Nothobranchius furzeri: one gene and its partners. The protein of the gene in region 1 purifies or fractionates together with the protein of each later gene. This does not show direct contact. Links are inferred from orthologs where the notes say so. Each region holds a gene or a part of one and is shown in the gene's direction. Other genes may lie near its edges.

Region 1 (4,102 bases):
ACTGACAGGGGCGAGGCTGCCGAGCACAGGCACCACCGGTCCATCCGACCACCACCAGCAGGCAAGGTGGGTTGAGTGTCTTGCCCAAGGGCACAACAGCAGAGTTCTCTGTCCGGAGCCGGGATCGAACCTGCAACCTTCCGATTACTGGACAACCCGCTCTGTTGAGCTACTGCTGCCCCAATGTAAACACTGTGAATAATCTACTAAATACTAATGGCGAAACATTATCCCACAAAGTCTTCTTAGAAAAATATAACATTAATACTTCACAAGAAGAGTATAACATGGTAATTAAATCCATCTATGTTTGTATTTTCTATTTAACACAGACCATACAATCAAACATCATCTTATCTGCAACAGCCAGACCTCCAACTATTTCTGGGATTCCAATCACAGATAAGAAATTTAATAATTCTGTTATTAGAAAAGTAATTGATCCTGTCTCAACCCCGATATGTAAACACTGATGGACTTTTATGAATACAAAACTCTGGAACAGGATCTTTCTGCTACCTCACCAATATGTTATTGTGAATAAGATAAAAGAAATTTGATTCAAAATTGTTCATAGATATTACCCGTCAAAAGCAAACATCTGTATTTTTTTCCAAATGTTTCTGACATATGTACTTTCTGTGGTTGTAAGGGAGAAACTATTGAACATGTTTTTGTTGATTGCTTTCATGTAACTTTGTTTTGGTTCCATTTAAAAAGATACATTTCCAAAAAGTTACAAAAAAAATATTTCTTTAAGCAAATATGAAATACTTCTTATTGTTACTAACCCTCATTTATCATCCAATGAAAAATACATAATTAACTTAGTCATTATTTTAGCAAAATATTATTTACATAAAATGATTTTTCAGAAAAGTATCCCCTTCTATAATTTCAGAATTACAGACCTTATGAAATATTGGAACAGCATTGAAAAATTAAAAATGAAGAACAACAAACTAACAAAGACCATCAACTTATTTCATCATTTCAACTTAGACACAGCAGACCCCTAAGTGTTATGTTTCTAAGTTATATATGTTTTCGTCAGTTTTTTTTATTTCTTGGTTTTTTGTTTAATAGTTTCCTAATGTTGCATGTATATTATTGCAATTCTAAACAACTGTAAAATGTGATCCATGGATTTATTGAATGTGTTTTCTGAATAAAACCTGTAAAAAAAATTAATAAATTAAAAAAACACCACGGACCAGGAAGTAGGTTTGGCTCTCTGACCTATGATTGGAGGCCGTGATAAAATGGGTGGGACGCTGCATTGTGATTGGTTGAGCTGTTGAAGTAGCATCCTGGTATTGGTTGTTAGGGTGTGTTGGTCTGTGAGGTCTTAGCGCTAATGCAATATAGCATCAACCTAACGGAGGACGAGTCATCTACGCCCATGTATCGATTTCAATACATTAGTAAGCAAATTACAGCATGATGCCTTGTTTTAATGTAGAATTTCGTCTTTGTTTTAATTGACCACGCTCTGCGTGTCCAGTTTACGAGCAGTTTTTACTGTAAAAAGACGAAAGTAGACAAGTTCGCCACCGTTAGCCTAAAACGAAGGTTTAGCTTCTCCGTTCTACCAACACAACGCTAGCTGAGCTAAACAGATACGACGGTTTGTTGAAGTGTTCCGTTCCTTATTGTTATTGATTAATTATGGGGTTAATTTAAAGGCGTTTAAACAGCAAACTGGTCTGTTCGCTAACTCGGTGTTCGGACATTTGTTTACATTTACATTTAGTTTAACTGCTTAGCGGTGATAAATAAGTGATAATCTGACTTGATTGGACCTTTGAGCTCATTACTGAAATAATCAAACGTCATTCATACGCGTGACAGAGTCAAAAAGGGAAACGAGTTTAAATCTTTAGACCCTTAAAACTTACTTAAACCATTATGTCGTTAAGCCAAATCGTTCAATAATGCAATGTTTATTGTTCCATTTTCTTTTGCAGTTCCAGTTTAACGTGTCAGGAAGCTCCTAACAGTCGCAAACATGTACGGAAAAGCGGAGTTCCGCCCGGTTCACATGGACTTCAGCTTTCTCATCCAGTCCTGCAGCTCAAACATCCAGAAGATCACACAGAACAGTAAGAGGTTTCTCCTGTTCCTCGCGCTTCAGCCTGGTGGGAAATCACATGCCACATGGTCACGTGATGACCATGTGAATGAGCTTTATAGCCTGTTTGTTATCCCCACGGTATTATCCACTGATCATCATCTCTCCAGGGTCGCACTTCAGTCTTTTTGGCTTCTTTAATGTTATTTCTTCAGAGGTGTGAACAGCAGGTCTCTTGATGAATGATCAGTTTCTCGTTTTACAACAAAATTATTTAATAATAAGGGGGGAGTGAGTATGTAACAGGGTGTGGTGTCACTTAATTATTATTAACAATTACTAATAATTATGAGGGGAATTTTTTTTTGTGTTGTTACTGATGTCTGTTGTCCCTCTGGAGTGCTGCAGGAGTACACACAGGGATTTATGGGGGTTGGATGAGGATAATGAAAGAAAGAAAGTAAATCAGTGTTTTGTGAACTGTTTAATTTGACATAAACATGGCAAACATGCTTTCTTGTCATTGTGTGTGAAAAACAGTGTAGAAATAAAAACAAACGACATGTGTTAATAGAGAAATAGCTGGCAAGCCGTGCTGACGCATGACGCATGCGCCGTGAGCGGTTTTGGTACTTTTTGGGTTGCAGCCACTCGCAGCGCTGCTTCAACCCTCACGAGGGACGAGCAAAATATCAAACATGCCAGAAATCAGTGCGAGCTCACGATTGCTGATAGGTAGCTGGTCACGTGGTGTTAATTGCCTCTCGTAACCACCTGTATACTACACGACGCTCTGCACAAAACTTGCCCCGATCTTGTAGATTCTCGCACGAGGGGAAAATCGGCTCAAAAAAGTGAAAGAGTCGCACAGTGCCCGCCTGGCTTAAAGGAACAAATATGATTTTGTAGTTCAAACAACAATGCTAAATATGTTAATTTACATTTGAGAACATTACCTCATGTCCAGTTGAAACTGGTATTGTTTAATGAGTATTGTATTGGTTTTCTCAATGACAGGAAATTGAAACATTGATATAATTTGCTTTTCGTTAAGACAAAATCGATATCGGCAAGTCAGGTTTTTCTCAAGATCGGTGATTGGCCAAAAACTGCAATCGGTGCACCCCTACTTCTCACTTTTTGCAGGAAAACCTAAGTGATATAAAGCTGATTTCTGTGTTTTAGTTCCGTCAGCGGGCTAGCATGTCCAGCTTTTCTGAGAAAGTACGACTTGAAAATGGAATACTTCCTGAGACCAAATCCATTCATCCCGTTCCATCAGCCATTGTGGGCATAAAAAATAAGTAACATCAAAAGTATTAATGTGCATGGCTCACAAGAATGTGTTTTGCTAGCGACACTTGGTAGAGATAGCTTCTCTCAGACCGTCGGACCAATCGGAGGACAAAAAACCCCTGATGTCACCGTGAGCCAACTACCTGGCTCAGCGATGTGATTCTGAAAGCTCACTGGTTAAAAAAACCAGATCCCATAGTAGAGGTTAACCAATGTTGGATTTTCTATTACTGATGCCGATAAGCAGAGCTAATGGTCAGCTGATGGCCGATATCTAGACATCAGTTGATACACAAAATTTCTGAAGCTAAATCAGTTTTTGAACTTGTAATTTAACCAACTGTTAAACCTTAATTTTGTGCACGGCTCAGTGTTAAAATCAGACATCTAACTCAAGTGAATCAAACAAAATTATTTGTTATGCAGAAGTTACTCAGGAACATAACTCTGCAGCAGCACCAGGCTGCCTGAGGATGTGCCTGACTTTAAATCTGCTTTACTAAGGAGATACTGTATATTGGCATTGGGCGATAAATCACTCTACCACTACTATATGGTATAACTAACAAAGGCCCGTTCTACTGATTCTGAACGCTTTGGGCAGATTGGACTCTCCCTGGCATCAATAGAGGCTGAAATCTGATTGGAAGAAAAATCCAGATGTAGAGGACACGGTGTCGGTACAGGATCGGCTCGGGGTCCTTCGACTGCCGATGACGTCACATTACTGCAAAT
Region 2 (2,304 bases), about 17 Mb from region 1:
CTCTTTAATTTCACCTGAATAAAGTATCTTATGTCCTCAGACTGATAGAGCCTTTAAACCTGGAGAAAGCTGTTGATCTTTATCAGAAAGCAGCTGGTGTGTTTGAGGTGAGAATCAAATATTTTCCTCCTCTACTGTTTTTGTTTTCCAAGTAGTCGACATGTCTTTCTGTTTATCATCTGCAGAACGAAGACCGTCTACGTCAGGCCGTGGAGCTGCTGGGAAAAGCCTCCAGACTCTTGGTCAGGTTAAAAAGGTAAAGGAGACAGACTGATGGCATGTTGAAGGTTTCCCTCCTAAAATTCAGTCACAGTACCTGTTCTGAATCGCCCTGCTCCCCCCTCTTCTCTCCCTGATCAGGCTGGATGAAGCTGCAGTCGCCCTGCAGAAGGAGAAGAACATGTACAAAGAGATTGAAAACTTTCCAATGTGTTTTAAAGTGAGTTGTTTTGCACATTTAATAACATTTAAAACTTCCTGTTGACTTGTGGCTAAAAGTCAGAAATTAATCTGCTGGCTGGTTCATCAAACACATTGATCACTCCTTAGTATGATGTTCCAAAACTGTGATCTCAGACCAGAAATAAGACGTTTTGTACTCTGTTTTGTTAGAAAACAACCGCTCAGGTCCTGGTTCATCTCCACAGAGGCGACTACGTTGCAGCTGATAAATGTGTCAGAGAAAGTTACAGGTAGGACTCCGAACCTCCTGCTTCCCCCTCAGAATGTGTTTCAGTCTGGCTGCTTCCACTTACCGTAAATCACACGTTACCGGTAATTTCTTCAAGTCTGCCTGGATACAGCGGGAGTGAGGACTGTGTTGCCATGGAGACGCTACTGCAGGGCTACGATGAGCAGGACGAGGATCAGGTTTACCGGGTGTGCAACTCACCTTTACTCAAGTACATGGACAATGATGTGAGTAATACAAAATACTTTCTTTTTAGTTTGATAATTTTGGTCAAGGTTCTTTGGATCAGAGACCTGCAGCCAAGTTTTAAACTAGGGATGTCCTGATCCGATCACATGATCGGAAATCGGCCCCGATCACGTGGTTTCAGACTGATCGGGACTCGTGCTTTACTTCCCGATCCAAGCCCCGATCCGGACTTGGATACTGGGTTCAAATTAGAGGAGGGCAACTTGGTTCTCCTTAAAGGTTGTCAGGCTTCCCTGATGCCCTTAACTTACACAGCCAGAAGGAGCACAAAAACATCCAGTTTCTACCTATTTTATATTATTTATATGGACTCAGCGTAGCGGGGATTCTTTGAGCAGAGATGCAGAGAGCGGCAGGCAGATTGCTGATTATTCATGAACTCCAGCTGCGTTCTGCACACGGCCACAGTAACATTTTCTAAGTTTCTAAGTGGCGTCACCAAAAAATGTATCATTAACACACAGTCATTCGTGTCCGTTCATTTTCTCTCTGGTAAGTTCTGTCTGTATTTGAGCATGACGTGTGGACGTGCTCGCGCTGCAGCTGCAGCGCTCGTCACTGGCGCAGCCGGGCAGCACGGCGCACACTCCGCTTTTTTGCGGTCAGTAGATCAATTTGATCTGCTAATTAAAAAGTTACTTGTGAGATGAAAACGAAGGAAGCAGGCAGGAGTTTTTTCTGGAGGAAGATCAGAGACAGACGGGACAGGAAGAAAGGAAAATAAAAACCAAGAAAACAAAACAAAGTTCTTAAAAAAATAAAATGTAGGTAGATTTGTCCCACTACACGGTTGTACCTGTGTGAAGCAATAATTTATCAGCATGTAGTATTTATATAGCTGATACAATTCAGATCATCTTCAAAACTCCGTCCCATGCCCAGGGACGTATCTAAGCATTTTGGGGGCCGAGGCAAAATAAACCCCTGCCAGGTATTTTAAGTTGAAGTGCTATCTGTTTTTATATGAGACTTTTTATATTTGCAATGAAGTCCAAAAGTGAAGATTTATGTTATTTATTACTTGATTGTTCAAGCTACCTCACAGAAGTGATCTGTTGTTAAAAATTAATATAAAAAGGTAATTAAATAAACAATAAGGAACATTCTGCAACAGTTTCTTCCTTTTCTTTCTTTTTTTTTAAATGAATCGAAAGTATCGGATCGGGACTCTGTATCGGCAGATTCTCAAAATCAAATGACTCGGACTTGAGGGCAAAAAAACCTGATCGGGACATCCCTATTTTAAACTTGTTATATTTTGTTTCTGTGAAAGTTTTTATTAGTTTTGCAGGACCGTGACCTCTCTGTGATGAGAAATTTGAGCCTGGAAAGAATAAATAGATTTTTTTTTTTTTGTTTTTATT
Region 3 (4,250 bases), about 24 Mb from region 1:
CAGCTACATCTGTCACACATAGCACAATGTTTTCTATTCATTAGCAAACATTTTTTGTTGCGGCTCAGTTCTCACCAGATTATAAACTTGATGGTGCCAGCCACTCGGCACAAAAATTATTTCACCTGCCTCTTGGATAATTTCAAGAGGCTGGCATGCTTCTTCAAACTGTGGGAAAAGGTTTCCATCCTGAAGCTCAGCTGATGTGACATCATAAGGGAGGTTGCCATGAGTGTCTCGTAAAAAATCCTCTTGACCAGGAGGATAAAGCAGCCACTTCTTCCTACCACAAATGTTTGCGGACCAGCTGTAGGAGCGGAACACATCGGCGTGGAACGGAGTCCTGGACACAACAAAAAGGCAGTGGATCGAATAGAATAACGAAACATTAGTATATTATGAGTTTTACCTGTATTGTTTTATCTTTTCCATACCATGAGCCTTTAGGTCCCATGTAGACAAAACGGTAGTCATCCACCTCCAGTGTATCCCAATATTCATTAAGCCAGTCAGAAGAGAAGAAGACTGGTGTTGTGTAAACATTATGTTCAGGAAAGTCCCTGTTGCATAATATAAAAAGGAATTAGGAAAATATACAGTAACCTGAACTATGTCAAAACAAAACATTTAAAATAATACTGCTATTAAAAAATAACTGAAAAAAAACCCGAATGCATATGCGCTTAGAATGCACATTTGTAATTTTCTATGTAAATAGATCATACAATTAAATTTTTTGTTAATAAATTAGAATGAACAAAACATTTAAGATCAAACTTAATTCGTGTCAGGTCAATACACACTGCTTATGACCCTTGCAAAACGGTGTTATGTTTGTTCATTTAGCAGATCAGGTTACCCAGCATGCATGTTTTAGCCTTTATTATTGTGAAATTCCTTTTTATATATTATATTCTTCACATTTTAAAGCTGTGCAATAGAAAAACGCATGCACCATACCTTGACATATGCCAGTCTTTCAGATAGAGACATCCTTTGGGTGAGGAGTGTCCATTTTGAATGTATTCCTTCCAGTAATGTATAAATTCTTTAAAAGGCATTACTTGTTTGGGGTTGGCGTTGTATTCCTTTGCATTGCAGTTTGCAACAGGGACAGGAGTTTCATCTGTGAATGAAACATAAGCGTAAATACGCGTGATTTGAAATCATGGTGCATGCAAAATTAAATGTATTTACCAAACTCTTGTAGCAGCTTTTGGAAATTAGGTTTACCCTCCTCAGTCACCCACTGTTTTCTGCACTTCCAGCCTTCTGTGAACTTTCTCGAGAACATGCATGGGTGATTCGCTAGCAGGTATTTCTTGAAAAATTTGGAATAGCTCAGGTCCTTGTCGATGTAGTCTACAAAATGCGATGACCAGAACAGTTCGTAGGACTGACTTGGTATTTTGACCAGGCTGCAGCAGTTGCGGTACGCCTCTCTGTCCATGTTTGTAAACAAGAGCCCGGCTAGCTGGTTAGCAAGCTAGCTAATGATGTTTCTCCTTGTTTACTGTATGGACATCCAGAAACAGACAGAAAAAAAGACAGAAGAATAAAAATGACATTGGTGTAAGTAGGTCTCATTTAAGGCCAAACTAAATATAAAATAAACGATTTTTCATATACAAGTTACTCCGACAACAGGTCAAAGTCCTATGGTTCCCTAGCATCGCAAATATATCAGCGCAGTTTCTGTTTATGTCAAGTTTCGTATACCAACGTTATGTTCAATTATCATGCAAATATTCCGCTTAATTCAAATCGTTCACACACCGCACTCGATTAGTGTTTGAATGTTTTAGTCTCAACCGGAAGTGCTTAAGTCGGACAATAAATCCAACCGTACCGGTGTGACGTCACTTCCACGATAAACAGCTACCAAGAAGAATGCGAGGTAACGTCATGTTTTACTTGTTGGCGGTCTTTTAGCTGTGGGGAGGTTTCTATTTTACGAGCAGGAAGTTGCAAAGATATATTAAAGTTCAGTTGTCTTAAATTCACTTTGGTGATGCGGATAAATAGCTTAACCTGTCTGCTTGAACGTGTCATCTGAGCTCATCTGCTGCATGGCTTATTCTGAAAAAAGTATGTTCACTACCAAGGCACAAACAGGTCCGTCAGTTATGATATAACTAAATAAATATAAGGGAATCATCTCCATGTGAGCGCTCAGTCCTGTCTTTCTTTGTACCAGGTGGAATTTAACATTTCCTCCCTAAGATGAGCCGGGACGTTCCCATCCACAGCTGGCCTGGCTCCTATTACATCAACAATGAGAAGCGGTGGGAGAGTGGAACCCTGTCCCTCTCCAGAACCATGGTGTGCTTTGTTTCAAGCCTCAGCAAGAACTGTCTCGTCAGTTTCCGTCTGTCATGTATCATCGAGATCAAGATGGAGTCGTCTAGTTTCATCTTCAGCACCCTGACGGTGCTTGAGGAAGGCAACGTGAAGCACTGGTTTGGTTCCCTTAAACCCAACCGAGTGGTTGTTTATAATGTGTTGGAACATTTCTGGAGAGAGCGTCTTCTGTCTCCCACTTCAGAGGCTCAAGGGGCTGAGTGCCAGATTTCTAAGGGGAGAGAACTGATCAACCTAGTGACGGGGGCCCAGAGACGATTGGAGGACACGGGCAGAGTCCTCAGCCATCAGGGAGAGCAGTTTGACAACATGATGCAGGGACTGGAGAAGATTGACTCCGATCTGGGCGTTGCTGACAAGTAATTATTCAAAAGTCTTTTTAGAATTGAGTTTTGCTCTTTTATGTCTTGATGATGCTGCATTTATTTACATGTGTTTCTCAATACTCTGTATTGCAGACTTCTGTCAGAACTGGAGTCCCCACCCTGGTGGCCTTTTGGCAAATTCCCATGGAAGGCTCAGCAAGAGGCCAAGGCTGAAGACGCTGCCAGAGCTGCAGCTGTCCTCTCAGCAGGCAAGGGTTCCAGCAGGAATAAGGTGATCACAAGCATCCCAGCGGTGGTGTCCAAAGGTGGAGACTCTGACTTGAAACCTGGATGTTTGCTAGTGCTGGTGTCCTCACTGGAGGTGCGAGACACAAATTGCCAACTCCTACACAAATTCGAAAGGAACGAGATTGATGAAATACGGGTGTGCAATTCCTATGAGATCACAGTGAGACAGCGGTTCATTGGGAAACCAGATATATGTTACAGGTTTCTTTCTGCAAAGATGCCAGAAGCCTTGTCTGTTTTGGAGATGCAATACAAGAAGAAGGTAGAGTTTACAAGTGAATACACCACTTTCAAGGCAACTCCATGTTCATCTGTTTGTGGCAAAGAAGGGACACACTGGAGAGAAGGTAAGAACAGTCAGGTGAATCTTTGTGTATTACCCATGCTTATTCTACATGTTACCACCGGGTGGCAGCAAAGAGCATATTTCTAAGCAACCACATGTTAAAACATTTCATCATGGTTATTGGTGTTTCTCTTTCACAGAAATGTATTTTGATGAGTCACTTCACCTTGACTGCTTTAGTTGCTGTATTTTGAGTTTACTGTCTGGTTTACGTATAAACAACACACTGCTTGCACTTCACACTTCCTCACCATCTCCACCCATGGAAATCAGGTTTACGGCAGACGAGCCGAGAGTCTGAGCTCCCACTGGAGGTCCCAGCAGGTGAGCTGTCCCAGTTGCAGGTGCAAGCCCTCCAGCCATCTGTCAGTCAGGCTGAGGCGCAGGAACTCAAGCAGGTGAGAAACTTGGATTTTCATAGCCGGTTTAAAAACAAAGTAGCACTGCTGCTGCTTTTAATTTGTGAAAGAAATTTGTGTAAAGACTCCAGATTCTGTTGCCTGAAGCTATTTTCACCTCCTGCTGAATTCTCTGTGTTGAAACATGGTGCAGCTGAACCCCAACTGATACTAAAACAAATCAGAAAGTTAAAAGATCAACACTGTTGGACGAAAAATAATCATATTTGTTGTTCAGTAACAACAAAGCCAGGTCACCATCTTGTAATTTCATAGCATCCTTTAGCTTCAGTAACCCACACCAATAATCACTCTGGTTATAGCTCTTTGCTTTGCATCCAAAGACATTAGCATACTTCCAGGCTCCGCCAAGAAAACGCAAAATTCTTCTTCTTCTTGTGTTTTTATTAAACTGAAAATGCTAACTGCTAGCCTTTATAATAGCTATCCCCCTACTGCACCAACCCACACTAGTATTTGAAAGCAATGGCTTAAATAGTTAAAAACTGTTTAGTGTTGCTATTTCTGTTT
Region 4 (2,274 bases), on another chromosome or scaffold:
AAAACAAGCAGAATTGGAAAATAGCGTTTTTAGCCCCGTTGACTTGCATTTATTTTATTTCTCGTTCTTCTGGGGCCCCGTGGTGCAGAAGTAGATGGGTGTGACTTGGGCTCCCTGTACGGTTACTTGTGCATGTTTTTTAAAAACAAGTTCATAAAAGTGAGAGGGGTTTCAGTAATGTAAATGTGTGTTTTAAATTTGATTTTAAACAGTAAATTTAGATTTTCAGTTCCTTCAAGTCAGTTTGTTTGAGCTGAGGAAAGCACCCTGTTATCAGAAAGGTCTTTATGTGTTTTAGCAGCCGAGGCCCTGCTGGGACGAACACAAGCTGAAGCTTCCGCCTTCAAGGAAAACAAAACTTAATTTGCTCTCACTGTTGTTTTTATTGTAACCAGGCCCGATGGTTTGATGCCTGAAGCTGAATGAGTGTCCGTCTGTCCACACAGATAATAGGAGTCCGTCTCTGTAAAGGAACCCGAGCAGGACTTAGTCACTCGACTTTTGCTGAGAGGGAACAAACCACTTTTTGACATTTTGGCTTTCCGACAGCAGATTCTGACCAAAGCAACAGAAAATGTCATTAATGAGGCCGTTTAGACCCAGCAGGGCTTTACCTGTCCCTATTGTGACCCGTTTTTGTCTTGTGTTGGGATGGCAGGAGATGAAAGATCAGCTGTCCAGTCCCTCTGCCGTTGCTCAGGCTGAGAAGAAAAGTAAGCAGGTGAGAAAACCCTTAAATGCAGAACACACACACACACACACACACTTTGTAAAGATTCAGCTCCCTGTACGTCTCTGTATGTTGGAATCCGTTGACCGTGTCTTCTGTTTGTGTTTTCGGGCTGACGTCAAAGGGCCAAGAACGATCAACAGGACTGGAGGCTCATCTGGTGTCGGCCAACTCCAGATACATTCAGGAGCAACAGGAGCAGCAACAGGTAGATGGATGAGAGGAAGAGAAGAAGCTCGAGTATTAAAGCAACATTTAAAACGGAAAAAAGCTATATAATAAATGGGGGGTGGGTACCTTTGTGTGTTTTTTGTGGGAATTTTAGGGTTTAAAATGATAATTCTGCTGAATGAAGGGGCTGAGGTTCTATAGAAGTTGGTTACTGCTGCTAAATATGTCTTAAGGCTTCTATATCATGATTTAATGATAGTTTTTTTATGCTCATTTTGCGTTTTGGCTTTTATTTTTATCAACTAAATAATGACTGAGTGCCATGAAACTGAGTTCTTGGAGAAAATCCTATTGAATCTGATTTGTGAAACGTTTAAATCAAACAATCCAATCACAATAAAGCTTGGGAGTTAATGCTAGAAAGCAAGAAAACGATCTTTTATGTAGCGCCTCTCAAGATAAAAATCACCAGGCGCTTCACAAAAACCAAAAAATGTAAATACAAAAAAGATTTAAAAAATGATTGAGAAGCATGTTTAAATGAGGAAAAAAATAGTGATAAAAAATGTAAGGAAAGGGAGAGAAAATGCGTCGGCTACGTGTCGAATAAAGATGATCTGAGCGCTTTGGGCTCATTCTGCAGGTTAGCATGGCTCCGTGTTCTCTCAATAAAGAAAAGGAGTCTTCTGCGTCGGGTTGAATGAAGGTTTAGTTTGTGCTTCCTGTGCTGTGGGTTGACTGCAGTGGTGAGTGATACAAGCGTCCCGTCACACATCCTGTCAGGTTGTGGGTTTTGGTACAAAATGAGAAGAAAAACCCAACAGCTAGTTCAAACCTTTGTGATTTAACAACAGTAATATCTTTATTTCTTACTGATTTTCTTTTTCTGTTTGCGGCTCGTTGATTTGGTGTGAAACGATGCAGACCTCATGTTTTCAAATTTGCGCTGGTCTGTAAATATGAGAATGAAGAAGTTTGAAGTTTCAGGGTTTCCTCCAGACCTTCATAAGCCCTGCTTTTTACCCCGCCAGGCCAGGCGTCCAAGTGCCCGCCCTCTCCTGGTAGCAGAACAATCCGAGCGCAATCCCCCCTTCACGGACGAGGCATAGTAGCAAACGACCCCCCCCCCCCCACACACACACACACACACCCGCGCTATCACAGTTCGCTGGGCTTAGCAAGTTTTCTGGGGGGAATCCTGAGTTTTGAACGTGTGTGTGTGTGTGTGTGCGTGTGCGTGTGCGCGTGCGCGTGCGTGTGTGTGTGTGTGTGTGTGTGTGTGTGTGTGCGTGTGTGCGTGTGTGTGTGAAGTTGATAATACAGGAGCAGGATGAACAGCTGGATTTGGTGACGGGCAGCATCAGAGTCCTAAA
Region 5 (4,241 bases), on another chromosome or scaffold:
CCTGTTGCCACGGAGCCCAGATCCTGATCAGATTTTGCGTTTGAAATTAAATGAACATTTCCACAGTTGGAGAACTCTGGCGTCCTTGAAACGTGAATCATCTCAAGTCGTATTATTAGCGGGAAAGGCATCTGGAGAGTAATGTTTCCCCTCTCCACTTCAGAGTGTTATATGAGTCTGAGGTCACATGAGCGAGGGATGGTTTGTTTGTGGTAATTAAGGTACAGAAAAGGGTAAAGTTCCACTGATGTTTCTGTTTTCCACTTTCACAACAGATTCTTTCTGAGAAGACGTTGAAAGCCCCTACAAGGGTGCCATCATCCATTAGAGCCTCTAAAACAACGAATCAGGGCATCAAAAATATCTGGAATGAAGCCAAAACCTGGCCATTTTTGAAAGCTTAACCGCTCTCCAGGGGAAAAGCTCAGGTCTCAGAGGACGATCTGTTTCTCGAAACTTTTTAAAATGTTTTTTTTTCTGTTTCACTGAAAGCTGTTTTCCTTGTTTAGCTCTTGAAGATTTGTTGCCCGCTTTCAAAGTTGGGCTTTTGTTCAAATCTTCTGCAGTTTCTGTCACATGCTGATGACTTCTTCCTGGCTCTTCATAGTGAGCTTTTTGAATGCTTTTGCAGCAGCATTATTGGATTATCTAGGTAAACATGTTTTATTTTCCTGTTTTTTGCACCATGATCCTGTTTTGCCCAGAGATTCTCAGACGTTTATTATGACACGCCTTATTTGTATTTGGAAGTGAATCCAAAGTAAAAACAAGCTGGTCAGAAGGAACGGAATAATCAGATTACAAATGTTACCTTTTCTTTGAAACTGCCTCATATGTGTTACACCAAAATGTCAAGAAAGCCTGTTCCAAGAAGATGTCTGCTGTTTTGCACAACCTGTGTGTGTTTTCATTCAAACAGAACTAGTGTTTGGTTATGAAACATAAAACATCTACAAGCACTCATCTTATACACCCCATGTAGTGGAGCTAAAATTTACCATTTTGCCCCAAAGGAACTTGTTCTGCTGCCCTTCCACTGGTTCTTTGTCACATAGTAAACAAACACATACTAAAAGAAAGAGCTCGAGAACAAGAAAGTTGAAGTGTAGTAAACCAAACACATTAACAGGCAAGTAACATATTTAACTTATGCTAATGTTGCTTATGTTTAATTAGGACTCTTGTTGAAACTCTGCACCATATTCAGGACCACCTTTAATACCTGCGTTAATACCTGTGACATCTTTAACCCTTCCACTGTGCTAATGGGTGTGACCCGCGAGGAAAGTTGACCATTGAGCAGGGTTGATGGTTTATCCCTTGGGTCCATGTGGCAGGGGTGAGGAGTGAGCACCACCTCACCCCAGCCACGTGGACCTCAAGGGATAAACCATCAGTCCTGCTCAGTGGTCAACTTTCCTAGCGGGGTCACCCATGAAGACAGTGGGAGGGTTAAACGTTGAGCTGCTTCTCTCTGGTTAGCAGGTCATGATATTCTGCCTCCTGGTAGCTTCTGACTGCATTCTGATGGGAGAAGGTTGAGGTTAAATGGTTGATTTAATGGTGTTTTTGTATATTTAATAATTTATTCTTAGTTAATTCAACTGGTAACTTGCTTATTTATTTCTTTTTGTTAGTTAGTGGGTTTTGATTTTCTTTCTGGAGTACATTGGTCCTCGCCGCGTTCCGTAGTGACGTCGCATCCAAAACAAGTGAACGCTACCGGGTTCGGTTTGTTGGTGATTTAAATTCTGCTCTGCTGGGGTTATTAGTTTTTTTTTTTGTCACAATGTCTCAGGACCCCTGGTAGGTAAACCCTTCCGACGCTAAAACAAGTCGTCTCGGGTTTGTTTTGAACTGCATGTTCCGTTTCTTCGCCTGGAATCTGATTTATGTCACAAACCAGCGGAGGCGCTAGCTAGTCCCTTATCGGCGTTAGCCGCTGGATAAATCTATTACGGCTGTGTGTTGGTTTATTCTTAACACAGGTCTTTTTACGCAATTCAAATCATAAAAATGGAGTAATACAGGAACTGTGATGTCATAAATATAAAACAACTTTAAACTGCATGTTGTTAGAGAGGAAAGCGGTGCAGTCAGCTGCTCTCGTTGATAAAATCTTTCCTGTTTTCGTCATGTGAGTTAGTGTCAAGGAAGTGGCTATTTCTATCGGTACAGGTAACCATGGTAACTAACATGTTAACACATATGTCTGTAGTTTGGGCACTTTTAAGTGCCCCAAATTTCTGTAAAATTAAAAAGATTAAAAAAGCTGGGAGCTCTTTAAATGTAGATTGTCAAACATCTAAAATTACTTAGATGACGATAATTTGTAAGTCCGTGTACCAAAAATGTGTACGTTTTAATCCCAAACTTTGGCCACGTTTATAGTTTAATGGACTTTTCATTGTTTTAATCCAAGATATGTAAATGTTGCTAACCTATTCTTAGCTTACTTACTCGGTTCATGAACACAAACCCTGTAGAGTTGTGTTATTAAACACTACGAAACCATCATGTCCTTAAACCTACTTTTATGATCTGGCTTTTAATTCTGTGAGTTAGCAATTGTTAGTGTTTTATATTTTGTAATTCTCATTTGTGGTTTTAATTATGTCTGTAGCGTTGTATGTTTTATTGTTTTACTCTTTTGTTGTACAGCACCTTGGTGGCATGCTCATGACTGTAAGGTGCTTTATAAACAAAGACTGAGTTGAGTTAAACGGCAGCAAGTGATTTATGCTCTGGACGTTTTTCTACCCTGCTAGGTTGCAGAATTATGATGCCACTTGTCGCCTGGCACAGGAAGTTGCAGAAAACATTCATGAAAGGAACAGGCAGCAGAGAACAGGGGGGAACCCAGCCAAGGTAATTCTGCGTGTCACCTAAATAGACCCGGTGGAGGCTTGTTCAGCACTGATCCTGTGATCTGACTCTGCAGATTAACATGACGCTACGGGCATCGCTCCAGAAACTAAAGCAGAATATTTCCCAGCTCAGAGAAGGCTTGTTGCGAATTTCCTCATCCCGACGCATGTATCCTTTTCCCCAACAATGTGACCAACTCCCAGAGTCATGAGACTGAGATTTACAGGCAAGCCTGAAGTCTTGTTTATGATTGCGGAGACACTCATTGGCCTGTAGATGGCAGTAGAGTTATGTTAAATGGAACCTGAAAAATGAAACCTGTCAGAAACTTCAACTTCCACCATTAAATCAACCATTTAACCTCAACTTGCTCCCATCAGAATGCAGTCAGAAGCTGATAGGAGGCAGAACCTTATTGATGACCTGCTAACCAGAGAGAAGCAGCTCAACGCAACATTCAAAGGAGATGCCACAGAGCCCGAACCTACTAGGTATTAACATCCTAAAGGTGGTCCTGGATATGATGGAATCTAAAACTTCTATACAATGAATATGACAAGCAGAGTATGGAGATTGTACATCTATTTTTATTCATAATGTCCTAACTGTCCACATTTTATTGATGTTGGTAAAAAAAAAACTTAAAATACAGGTTAATTAATTAAAAATCTTGTTTTTACATGTAGATTTCAGTCTAATATGTTGATTGGAGGTGAAAGGACTAGTTTGTATTTACAGCAGGTTTGCCCCACCAGAGCTCCGTTCACATTTTATCAGGATTTTTTAGGATGATTAATCTGGTACGTCACTTCCCTATCCTGATGTGTTTTATGTAATATTTGTTCTCCCTACCATGGACGTAATTTTCACTTTAGAAGTGTGTGTGTGTGTGTGTGTGTGTGTGTGGGGGGGTATCTTTACAGTATGCTCTAATGGGAAACAGACTTCAAAACAAACGGTTGTTTTCCGCTTGGTCCTAGAGCTCAACCAGTGTCAATGTAATATAGCGTAATGTTGTTTTTGGGTGGTAAAAAGTGCAGGGGTCAAAACTTGACTTTGGAAAAAGTGGGGGGGGGGGGGGGGGGGGACATGTCCCCCCTGTCCCCCCCAAAAATTACGCCCATGCTCCCTACATTTCTCTAGGATTAGGAAAGTTCTTGTTCCGAACTTGCTATGTTTAATTTTGTTATTTTGTGACCTTTAAAAGCTTCACTCTGTGGCTTCTCAGTTAAAGACGCTACTGGTCAGTGAGTTTCTCCGGTAGTCTTTGCGTATCCATGGTGACCCCTGTGCTGTGACCTCACTGAGTGCTATCACTTGGACAGAAATCTGCTCATCGTTCTGACAGCTTGGCGTCTAATTCCTTTGTTTTA
Region 6 (4,127 bases), on another chromosome or scaffold:
TCCTTTTTGTAATTTTTTTTTAATCTGAGAGACAAAATCGCCTCTTAGAGTTGAACATTCCGTTTCTCCTCCAGGACACTGTTTATAGTTCTGACTGAATTAAATACAGAGTCAAATGTGACATTTTATTTCACGGTGAAGACAACAGAAGACAAGTCTTGCCTTGCTGTGCATGACCTGCTACTCTCCTTCCTAGCAAGAGGGTTATTTTCTCACTCTGCTTCCGGATGAATACTTTCTGATGTAAAAAACGAAGCGAAACAAACATCTGGTGAAGTTTTTTTTTCCCGTTGTGTTGTGCCCAAACAAAAGCGTGACCGTCAAAACAGAGGCATGTATCAAACCGCAACTTGGGATCCTGTAAACATTCAAATACAGTTCTAAAAGCTAATGTCTACATTTGCTGTTTTAAATATTAATCAATGTTTATCGTATCTATGATGAACGCTTATTACTCATTTTATTACTGAACTGATACACAGGCCGACATTATAAAAAAAAGGGGTGAGCTTCGCACGCACGACGTAAATCTGCAGTAACGGACTGAGTTCAGGTGAAGAGTCGTGCTAACTACCTAGCTAGCTACTGAAGGTATCCACGTGAGGAGTAAACTTAAGGGGTTACGTTTAGCCCCTATGTATCGATCATTTCCTCCCAAGTGGAGTCGGTTTACCGTCAAGATCACTTGGTCTATATGTAAACTGTGACACTTTAAAATGTCCTACCATTTCAAGCTTTGGTTTCTTTTCCATTTCTCCGGCCATGCTTCAGGCTTTTTCCCCCTTCTTCTTCTTCGGGTGTTGTATTGCGGGTGGCATACGTGCATTTCTGCCACCTACTGTGCTGGAGGGGGTCTATCGCACTCTTGATGGGTCACACTGATCAGTCCTGAGTTGTTGATCCTCATCTTTGTCTGACAGGCGTAAAGCGCAAACAAATTTCTAAATTCTATTTAAATATTTTAACATTTGGGTAAGCAGATGTTCGAGTTCGTAACAAATATGTATAACTTTAGATTATTTGTACAAAAGTAGTTGTTCATTTTGGGTAAATAATTTGTTTTATTTGAGTAAACTACAAATACTTAAATTTATCTGAAAAAATAAAATACAGTTTTAGTCTGGTAGTTCTTCCTTTACGGTATCAACACATTATTGATCTGAAAAACGTCCACAAACCAATTTTATGGACGATTTGTTCGCCTGAAAGTCTTTCAAAAGGGCCAATTTAACGCACACCTTCTATTGCTGTAATCAGAACAGAATTGCGCATGAAAACATGTGACGTTGAACGTCACGTGTTTGTCTGAAAAGAATTGTAGTTCAATAACAGAACCAAATGCGTTAAAATGTGGCTTTAGAAACTACATTACCCAATAGTGGGTTGAGGTCATTTCCGGTTTTTTGATTTTGCTAGTCAGAAGTCACTCAAAAAGGATTAGCTAGCAGCTCAAACAGCTTATGTGGCTATTAAAACTCTACGAGATACTTTGAGCATCGCTGACACATTGAGGTAATACATTTATTTGTGTTTTCTGTGGTTGTTTGGTTTATTTTGTTACCATGACATAACGTAACATCACACCTCCCTAACGCAGCTGTGTTTTGTTGAACAACATTAGCTAGCTAGTTTTTCTCCAAGCTTTTGTTTTGTCTCTCTAGAAATTACTTGAGTTTAACACACGAGCTGGCGGCTGCTCGCCTGTATTTGAATATTTCAGATGAACACGATTTTTCTTATTTGTTTAAACAAGCTCCTGCTTGCCCATATGGCTTTATTGGCCCTAATATCCACCCATCTCTATACTTCCGTAATTTTACTGTCTACAGGTACATAGCTGAATCCCCCCAGCTGTTGCCATGGCAATCCTGTTTGCTGTGGTGGCTCGTGGAACCACTATTCTGGCGAAGCATGCTTGGTGCGGTGGGAACTTCCTGGAAGTCACAGAGCAGATTTTGGCCAAAATTCCTTCAGAGAACAACAAGCTGACCTACAGCCACGGCAGGTAAAATCCTAACGCAGTGCATCTGTCCAGAAGCTGTTTCAGAAACACTCTTGGTGACAGATCTCAATGACTTTCTCCTTTTTGTTTGTTTTTATAGCTATCTCTTTCATTACATCTGCCATGACAGAATCATATACCTGTGCATTACTGATGATGTGAGTATACAACAACGTTACCTGCCAAATAAGGATACTTATCTACTCACGAATATATAGTGTCACAGGAAAATGCATCTTTTTAATCATGTAGCCTCCTGATTTAGATTGAGTAGTTCTTTATGTCCTGCTTTAAAACAGCCAGACTTTCTCATACGCTTTTAAAGTTGGATGATTAATAATTCTAAAGTCTTTCAGGTTTTTTTTTTCCTTTGAACTGATTTCTGAGGATTGTTTTGGTTCTGTTTGTTAAGCTTTAAGTTATTTATCTGTGGCGTATAATTCATTCATGCATTAAAAAAGCCTTAGATACTAACAGGTGTTGTGTTGTGGTTTAACAAACAACTTGGCAACGGGCCAGTTAGGATCTTTAGGCACTTTGCTACCAGCAGCCTGCCACAGACACTATTTTTGTTCCCATTTATTTAGTATAATCTGTAAAAAGTAACACAGTGTTGCAGTTGGTAGCAGTGTTGCCTCGCTGCAAGGTCGAAGGTCAAAATCTGTCCTTTCTGTGTGTAGTTTGTATGTTCTCCACATGCATGTGTGGGTTTTCATGGATAATGCATTGTCCACTGAATCAAAACGTTCACATTAAGGCTGACTGGAGACTTTGTCCCTAGGTTTGAGTGAGTGTGTGACTGGTTGTTTGTCTTTCTGTGTGATGGACTAGCCTGATGACTGCTAGGTTAGACACCAGCTCCCGTGACCCTAGTTAGTTAGACCGAAGCGGTTCAGATAATGGATGGATCAATAACGAAATAACACTGAAAAGTTTACGTCCTGTCAGGTCTTTGATTGTTTTTAAAAGTATTTCTCAAACAAAGCTTTGGTACTTTACACCTGCTGTTCTTTAGGTCTTCTTTTGCCCATTGGTTCACATTCCTCATTTTTTCAAGAGCATGCTGCACAACATCCTGTCATGGTCAGGTATGAGAAGAGGAAATGAGTGGAGAATCTACCAAAGTCCAAAAGAACACTTTAAACGAGCGTCAGAAAGTCTGGTGGTTTAGTGATCAATGCCACTAGAAAACGTCAGTCTGCTTCCTTTCAAGCAAAAATTAAAAAGACAAATCTGTGTGTTTCAAAATGTTATTATTAAAGCAGAACACTCACACTGTTCCACCCTTTTTAGTGAATCTTGGTTTGTTTTAACTCACTTTATTTTTATTTTTTGGTGGCAGGACTTTGAGAGATCACGTGCGTTCAGCTTCCTCAGTGAAGTCAAGAAGCGTTTCCAAACGACGTACGGCTCCCGAGCTCAAACAGCTCTACCCTACGCCATGAACAGCGAGTTCTCCTCAACACTAGCAGCTCAGTTGGTGGGTGCAGCAAAAGGCTGAGGACATTCAGAAAAAAATTTGCAGACTAAATGTTAGTCAAACATTCAAGTATTATTATGAAGCGCGTTTAAAAATGGCTGTCACTGACCAGAGTCTTTAAGGGATATAATAAAAGAAATGAGTGAAATAGCACAAGACCATAAAGGTAGAGGAAACCAGAATAAAAGTGTAAAAGCTAATAAGGAATTTATGTTCAAGTCAAAGTCTCCAGAAAACCTCTCGGGGTGGGGGTGCGTTAAATCAGCTGTTTCCTGATCAGAAAAGCCCTTCACTGCCAGCGTTTTTCAGCGTTTTCACAGTTTTTTTAAGAGTCACCAAACATTCTGCTGTATGATGATGTCAGCGCCAAAACTATCAAAACAAAGCGGAGACTCGCCTCTCACATCAGGAAGAATCCGCGCGTTTCGAGCGTTATCCGTTCTTTCATAATCCGTTGTTGAACTGTGATCGGCAGAAGCTTTTCCGGTTCGCGCCTCACTTTTTTTACAGCAGCGGCCCAAAACGATCTCCTAACACAGGGATGTTCTGCTTCCTGATCACGTGACGTGTGAGGTATGCAGATGAAGATCGGCTTTAGAGCTGAGATGTTTGTTCTTACGGTGCGGGGGCTCGTCCGACGCCCAC
Region 7 (3,892 bases), on another chromosome or scaffold:
CCTCTTCTGGATCATCTCTGCCAAACTTCTGACGGGCCTGGACATGTACTGGCATAAGCAGGTGGACCTTTTGAGCACGGCAGAATTTTAAATCTGTGATGACAAAGTGTATTACTTATGGTAACCTTTGTTACTCTATCTGCTTCCTCTTCAGCACATCCTGAGCTCCTTCAAAGGAATCTCCTACCATCTTTATGCAGAAGACATCCAACTGTACATCTCCTTTAAGCCCCATGAGACATCTCAGCTGCAGATGTTACACACCTGCTTAGACTCTATCAAAACCTGGATGGCTGGGAGCTTTCTTCAGCTGAATGAAGATGAGACTGAGATCCTCATCTGTGCCCCAGACAAGCTGGTTCCCAAAGTCAGAGACTCTCTTGGTCAGCTTACTTCTCACACCAAACCTTCTGTCAGGAATCTTGGCGTGACCTTTGACCCAGCTCTCATCCTGGATTCTCATGTCAGTTCTCTTGTTGCTCTTCCTTCTTCCATCTCAGGAACGTTGCTAAGCTGAGTCCCATTCTGTCTCGCTCTGAACTTGAGACAGTTATCCACACCTTCATCTCCTCACGCTTAGACTACTGTAACTCTCTTTTCACGTGTCTGAGCAGAACCTCCCTGAACCGTCTACAGGTGGTTCAGAATGCCTGTGCTCGGCTTCTGACCAAGTCCTCCAAACACACCCACATCACCCCGCTTCTCCTCCAGCTTCACTGGCTGCCAGTCAACTTCAGGGTTCATTTCAAGATCCTGGTTCTGGTCTATAGGGCCTTACATGGACAAGCACCATCTTACATTGGTGATCTTCTTAGTCCCTACACCTCCAGCAGGTCCCTGAGGTCCAGTGATCAAAGCCTACTGGTTGTGCAGCACCAGGCTAAAGACCAAAGGTGACAGATCATTTGCTGCTGTGGCCCCCAGACTCTGGAACTCTCTCCCCCTGAGCCTGAGATCAGTGGACTCAGTGGTCTCCTTTAAAAAGCAGCTGAAGACTCACTTGTTCAAGCTGGCTTTTGTATGACCTTCTTCACCACTCTCTTTATTCTGCTCTCCCCACCTATTCCACCTTCCTCAGGATCCACTGATTTCCCTCTTTCCTATGCATTTTCTCTTTAACATTTTTTTAATCACAATTGTCAATTTTTTGCTCATTATAAATAAATTTTCAATCATTTTCTCAATAATTTTTCATTTAATTTCAATTCCACAATTGTTTTTGTGAAGCGCCTCGTGATCTTCATCTTGAGAGGCGCTATAGAAAAGATATTTTCTTCTTTCTTCTTCTACTGTGGTTCCAGGTCTCTTCAGGTCATTGACCAGTGTGCCCCCCCCCCCCCCCCTCCCCTTTCCAGGTTCAGGGAGATTGTATTTTTTCCCTCATTTTTTAAAAATTGTAGCAAAAGCTGATCCCTTCTCACCAAGCAGCTCGCTTATTGTAGGTTGTCTCGTCCCCGTCTTGCGCAGGTGTGTAATGTTGTCCTGGGTGTCGTTAGACGGCTCTGTGGTCTTGGCCATGGTGGAGGTTGGAGTCTGAATGTTTGAAGGTGTGGGCAGGTGTCTTTTATACAGAGAATGGGTTTAAACAGGAGCCATAAGTTGAGGATAGAAGAGGTTCTGTAAGGGACAGAATTCCTTGTTGCTTATTTTCTGCACCATTACAGCAGTAAAAGTCATACAGTGTGATTTATGTTTATATTCTGTCTCACAGCTGAAATGTAAATGACATTATGATGACAATTACAGATCTCTTTCATCTCTTAAGGGGGACATCTTGCACAACCAGTGGTTGCCAGATCCATTTGTGCCCTTCTGACGGTGAGATTGTGACGTTCCTGTTGGATTCTTAGGTGTTAAACTTCATGTCTGATGTGCAGGATAACCAACGACGCTCGAGAGGATGAGATGGAGGAAAACCTGAACACGGTCGGCAGCATCGTCAGCAACCTGAAGGACTTGGCAACAAATATGGGCAACGAAATCGACAAGCAGAACGTGCACATCGACAACATCACTGAGAAGGTGAGAGCATTTTTAAAATTTTAAATAGGCACAATAGTAATAACGTAAAATGTTATTATTGTTGGTGAATTCTTCTGTTCATCATTTTACTCCTTTGGAAAACAAACAAGGAGTTAACACCTGCTGTAAAATGACACTAAACACAGCAGTTGTTTCACATCAGCGCTGTAGAGTGAATGAAAGGTGCATCATCACAGGAGAGTCCCCAGTGGTCCCAGAAGAACCCCACTGTGGTCTAATACCAACCTCCATCTGTGCTGAGGCACGATGCTGGAAGCATCACATTACAAACAGTTTGGGGGGGGGTGACGACAAACCATCAGGACAACTCTGGACCAACTTCAGGACGTGTCTCTGCCTGTCCTGCAGTGGCTCAGCCAAAGCCAACACTTTAATCCCTAAATCCCGCCAGTGTGCTGATTCCTGAGGACGGCGGTTCGGAGTAGCTCTCCATCCAGCCTCTGGGATTTTAGGATTATTTGCCTGGAAGTATGAGATGAACCGGCCAAACGCGGAAGCTGGATCAGGACTTTTCCAGGAGACTTCTTGCTTAAGGTGTTCAGTCGGAACACTTTAAAGAAATGGCAATTTTATCTAAATTTGAACAACACAATGAAATGTGGAGGAGAATCGTTCCAGACTTTTGCTTTTCTGATGTTTGTAAATTCACATATTGAGATAGTTGGTCATCTGATTATTTCATTAGATCAGCAACCTTCCTCTGTTTATGTTTATGTATTTAGCAGACGCTTTTGTCCAAAGCGACTTACAAGTGATAATCGGCGTGTTGCCCTTGAGGCTAATAACAACAATTACAACAACAACAACCAATTTCCAGTCAGTCGTAGGTGGCAGTGAGGCAGCATGATGAATCATGGAGAGGAGGGAACAAGGAGTGGACAGTAGAGAGGGGGACGGGTGCAGGGAGGGTGCTAGTTTAGAAGATGCTCTCTGAAGAGCAGGGTCTTCAGGAGTTTCTTGAAAATCGAAAAGGAAGCCCCTGTTCTGGTAGTGCTTGGTAGGTCATTCCACATTTGTGGAACGATGCATGAGAAGAGTCTGGATTGTCCTGAGCGTGGTGTAGGCACTGCTAGCCGACGATCCTGTGATGACCGGAGCGGCTGGGCCGAGACGTAAGCCCCGACTCTGTGCTGCTTGATTTCAGGAAAACATGCAGATCCGTGTTAAGATGTGCGTTTGTGCAGAGAAAAGCTTTTGAAAAGTTATTTAAATGTGTTTGCAGATTCCTACAACATGACAGTTTGTTTACATCTTCTGTTTTCTCTCCTTTAGGCCGAGTTGAACAAAATACGCATTGACGTAGCGAACGACAGAGCCAACAAGCTCATCAAATAAACACAGAATCCTGCTCCTGCCTGTTTCCTCATCACGTCCTGTTGCTACGTACATGCACATTGTACACTTCTGCACATGCACACACACCTTTTCACTGTTTAATGAGCTGGGTCCTGGAGACGGCGGCGGCTGCATTGTGTCGGTGACAACCAAAGAGGGAGCGACTGAGCGCCCAGCACAGAGTACACACCAGGCCTGTGACTACATATCACATGATATTCACAAAGTCAGCTGTTTTCTTATTCCTGTCTGTCTGTCTGTGTGTGTGTGTGTGTGTGTGTGTGTGTGTGTGTGTGTGTGTGTGTGTGTGTGTGTGTGTGTGTGTGTGTGTGTGTGTGTGTGTGTGTGTGTGTGTGTGTGTGTGTGTGTGTGTGTGGCTACTGAGATGCTCTCATCACAGCTAGTTTCTAAAGAAATCCAAACACACAAACCCGATTAGTTATCCCGCTCACTTCCTCCTTTTGTTCCATCGTTAAATGTATGGTTGTTGTTTTGAGTTCATATTTAATTATTC

The links.
Region 2: the proteins of stx12 (region 1) and napgb purify together in Homo sapiens (affinity purification with mass spectrometry; 3 studies listed by BioGRID and IntAct, counting the BioPlex papers as one, with this or other methods). This does not show direct contact. The link is inferred for Nothobranchius furzeri from reciprocal best matches to the Homo sapiens genes STX12 and NAPG.
Region 3: the proteins of stx12 (region 1) and snap47 purify together in Homo sapiens (co-immunoprecipitation; 3 studies listed by BioGRID and IntAct, counting the BioPlex papers as one, with this or other methods). This does not show direct contact. The link is inferred for Nothobranchius furzeri from reciprocal best matches to the Homo sapiens genes STX12 and SNAP47.
Region 4: the proteins of stx12 (region 1) and stx10 purify together in Homo sapiens (affinity purification with mass spectrometry; 3 studies listed by BioGRID and IntAct, counting the BioPlex papers as one, with this or other methods). This does not show direct contact. The link is inferred for Nothobranchius furzeri from reciprocal best matches to the Homo sapiens genes STX12 and STX10.
Region 5: the proteins of stx12 (region 1) and stx8 purify together in Homo sapiens (affinity purification with mass spectrometry; 3 studies listed by BioGRID and IntAct, counting the BioPlex papers as one, with this or other methods). This does not show direct contact. The link is inferred for Nothobranchius furzeri from reciprocal best matches to the Homo sapiens genes STX12 and STX8.
Region 6: the proteins of stx12 (region 1) and sybl1 purify together in Homo sapiens (affinity purification with mass spectrometry; 3 studies listed by BioGRID and IntAct, counting the BioPlex papers as one, with this or other methods). This does not show direct contact. The link is inferred for Nothobranchius furzeri from reciprocal best matches to the Homo sapiens genes STX12 and VAMP7.
Region 7: the proteins of stx12 (region 1) and synaptosomal-associated protein 23 purify together in Homo sapiens (affinity purification with mass spectrometry; 3 studies listed by BioGRID and IntAct, counting the BioPlex papers as one, with this or other methods). This does not show direct contact. The link is inferred for Nothobranchius furzeri from reciprocal best matches to the Homo sapiens genes STX12 and SNAP23.

What each region holds. Positions count from the first base shown.
Region 1 is NC_091751.1:25,527,620-25,531,721, reverse strand, and holds the start of stx12 (syntaxin-12), read left to right. Parts: upstream 1-1,302; 5' UTR 1,303-1,424; intron 1,425-1,499; exon of another isoform or gene 1,500-1,627; intron 1,628-1,967; 5' UTR 1,968-2,008; coding exon 2,009-2,102; intron 2,103-4,102. UniProt on the Homo sapiens protein: SNARE promoting fusion of transport vesicles with target membranes. Together with SNARE STX6, promotes movement of vesicles from endosomes to the cell membrane, and may therefore function in the endocytic recycling pathway.
Region 2 is NC_091751.1:42,362,737-42,365,040, reverse strand, and holds part of napgb (N-ethylmaleimide-sensitive factor attachment protein, gamma b), read left to right. Parts: intron 1-40; coding exon 41-107; intron 108-185; coding exon 186-256; intron 257-360; coding exon 361-439; intron 440-612; coding exon 613-692; intron 693-788; coding exon 789-918; intron 919-2,304. UniProt on the Homo sapiens protein: Required for vesicular transport between the endoplasmic reticulum and the Golgi apparatus.
Region 3 is NC_091751.1:49,578,117-49,582,366, forward strand, and holds the start of snap47 (synaptosomal-associated protein 47), read left to right. Parts: upstream 1-1,450; intron 1,451-1,766; exon of another isoform or gene 1,767-1,897; intron 1,898-1,908; exon of another isoform or gene 1,909-2,115; intron 2,116-2,197; 5' UTR 2,198-2,223; coding exon 2,224-2,720; intron 2,721-2,819; coding exon 2,820-3,322; intron 3,323-3,594; coding exon 3,595-3,995; 3' UTR 3,996-4,250. Other genes in the region: 2-oxoglutarate and iron-dependent oxygenase JMJD4, read right to left, coding at 76-343, 435-560, 961-1,126, 1,198-1,450. UniProt on the Homo sapiens protein: Plays a role in intracellular membrane fusion.
Region 4 is NC_091744.1:1,410,056-1,412,329, reverse strand, and holds part of stx10 (syntaxin-10), read left to right. Parts: intron 1-658; coding exon 659-721; intron 722-854; coding exon 855-938; intron 939-2,212; coding exon 2,213-2,274. UniProt on the Homo sapiens protein: SNARE involved in vesicular transport from the late endosomes to the trans-Golgi network.
Region 5 is NC_091747.1:69,890,227-69,894,467, reverse strand, and holds the start of stx8 (syntaxin-8), read left to right. Parts: upstream 1-1,441; 5' UTR 1,442-1,789; coding exon 1,790-1,806; intron 1,807-2,768; coding exon 2,769-2,868; intron 2,869-2,941; coding exon 2,942-3,036; intron 3,037-3,248; coding exon 3,249-3,359; intron 3,360-4,241. UniProt on the Homo sapiens protein: Vesicle trafficking protein that functions in the early secretory pathway, possibly by mediating retrograde transport from cis-Golgi membranes to the ER.
Region 6 is NC_091741.1:28,141,947-28,146,073, forward strand, and holds the start of sybl1 (vesicle-associated membrane protein 7), read left to right. Parts: upstream 1-1,327; 5' UTR 1,328-1,512; intron 1,513-1,829; 5' UTR 1,830-1,859; coding exon 1,860-2,005; intron 2,006-2,102; coding exon 2,103-2,160; intron 2,161-3,344; coding exon 3,345-3,482; intron 3,483-4,127. Other genes in the region: polr1d (DNA-directed RNA polymerases I and III subunit RPAC2), read right to left, coding at 726-764. UniProt on the Homo sapiens protein: Involved in the targeting and/or fusion of transport vesicles to their target membrane during transport of proteins from the early endosome to the lysosome. Required for heterotypic fusion of late endosomes with lysosomes and homotypic lysosomal fusion.
Region 7 is NC_091758.1:23,397,493-23,401,384, forward strand, and holds the end of synaptosomal-associated protein 23, read left to right. Parts: intron 1-1,877; coding exon 1,878-2,022; intron 2,023-3,315; coding exon 3,316-3,378; 3' UTR 3,379-3,392; downstream 3,393-3,892. UniProt on the Homo sapiens protein: Essential component of the high affinity receptor for the general membrane fusion machinery and an important regulator of transport vesicle docking and fusion.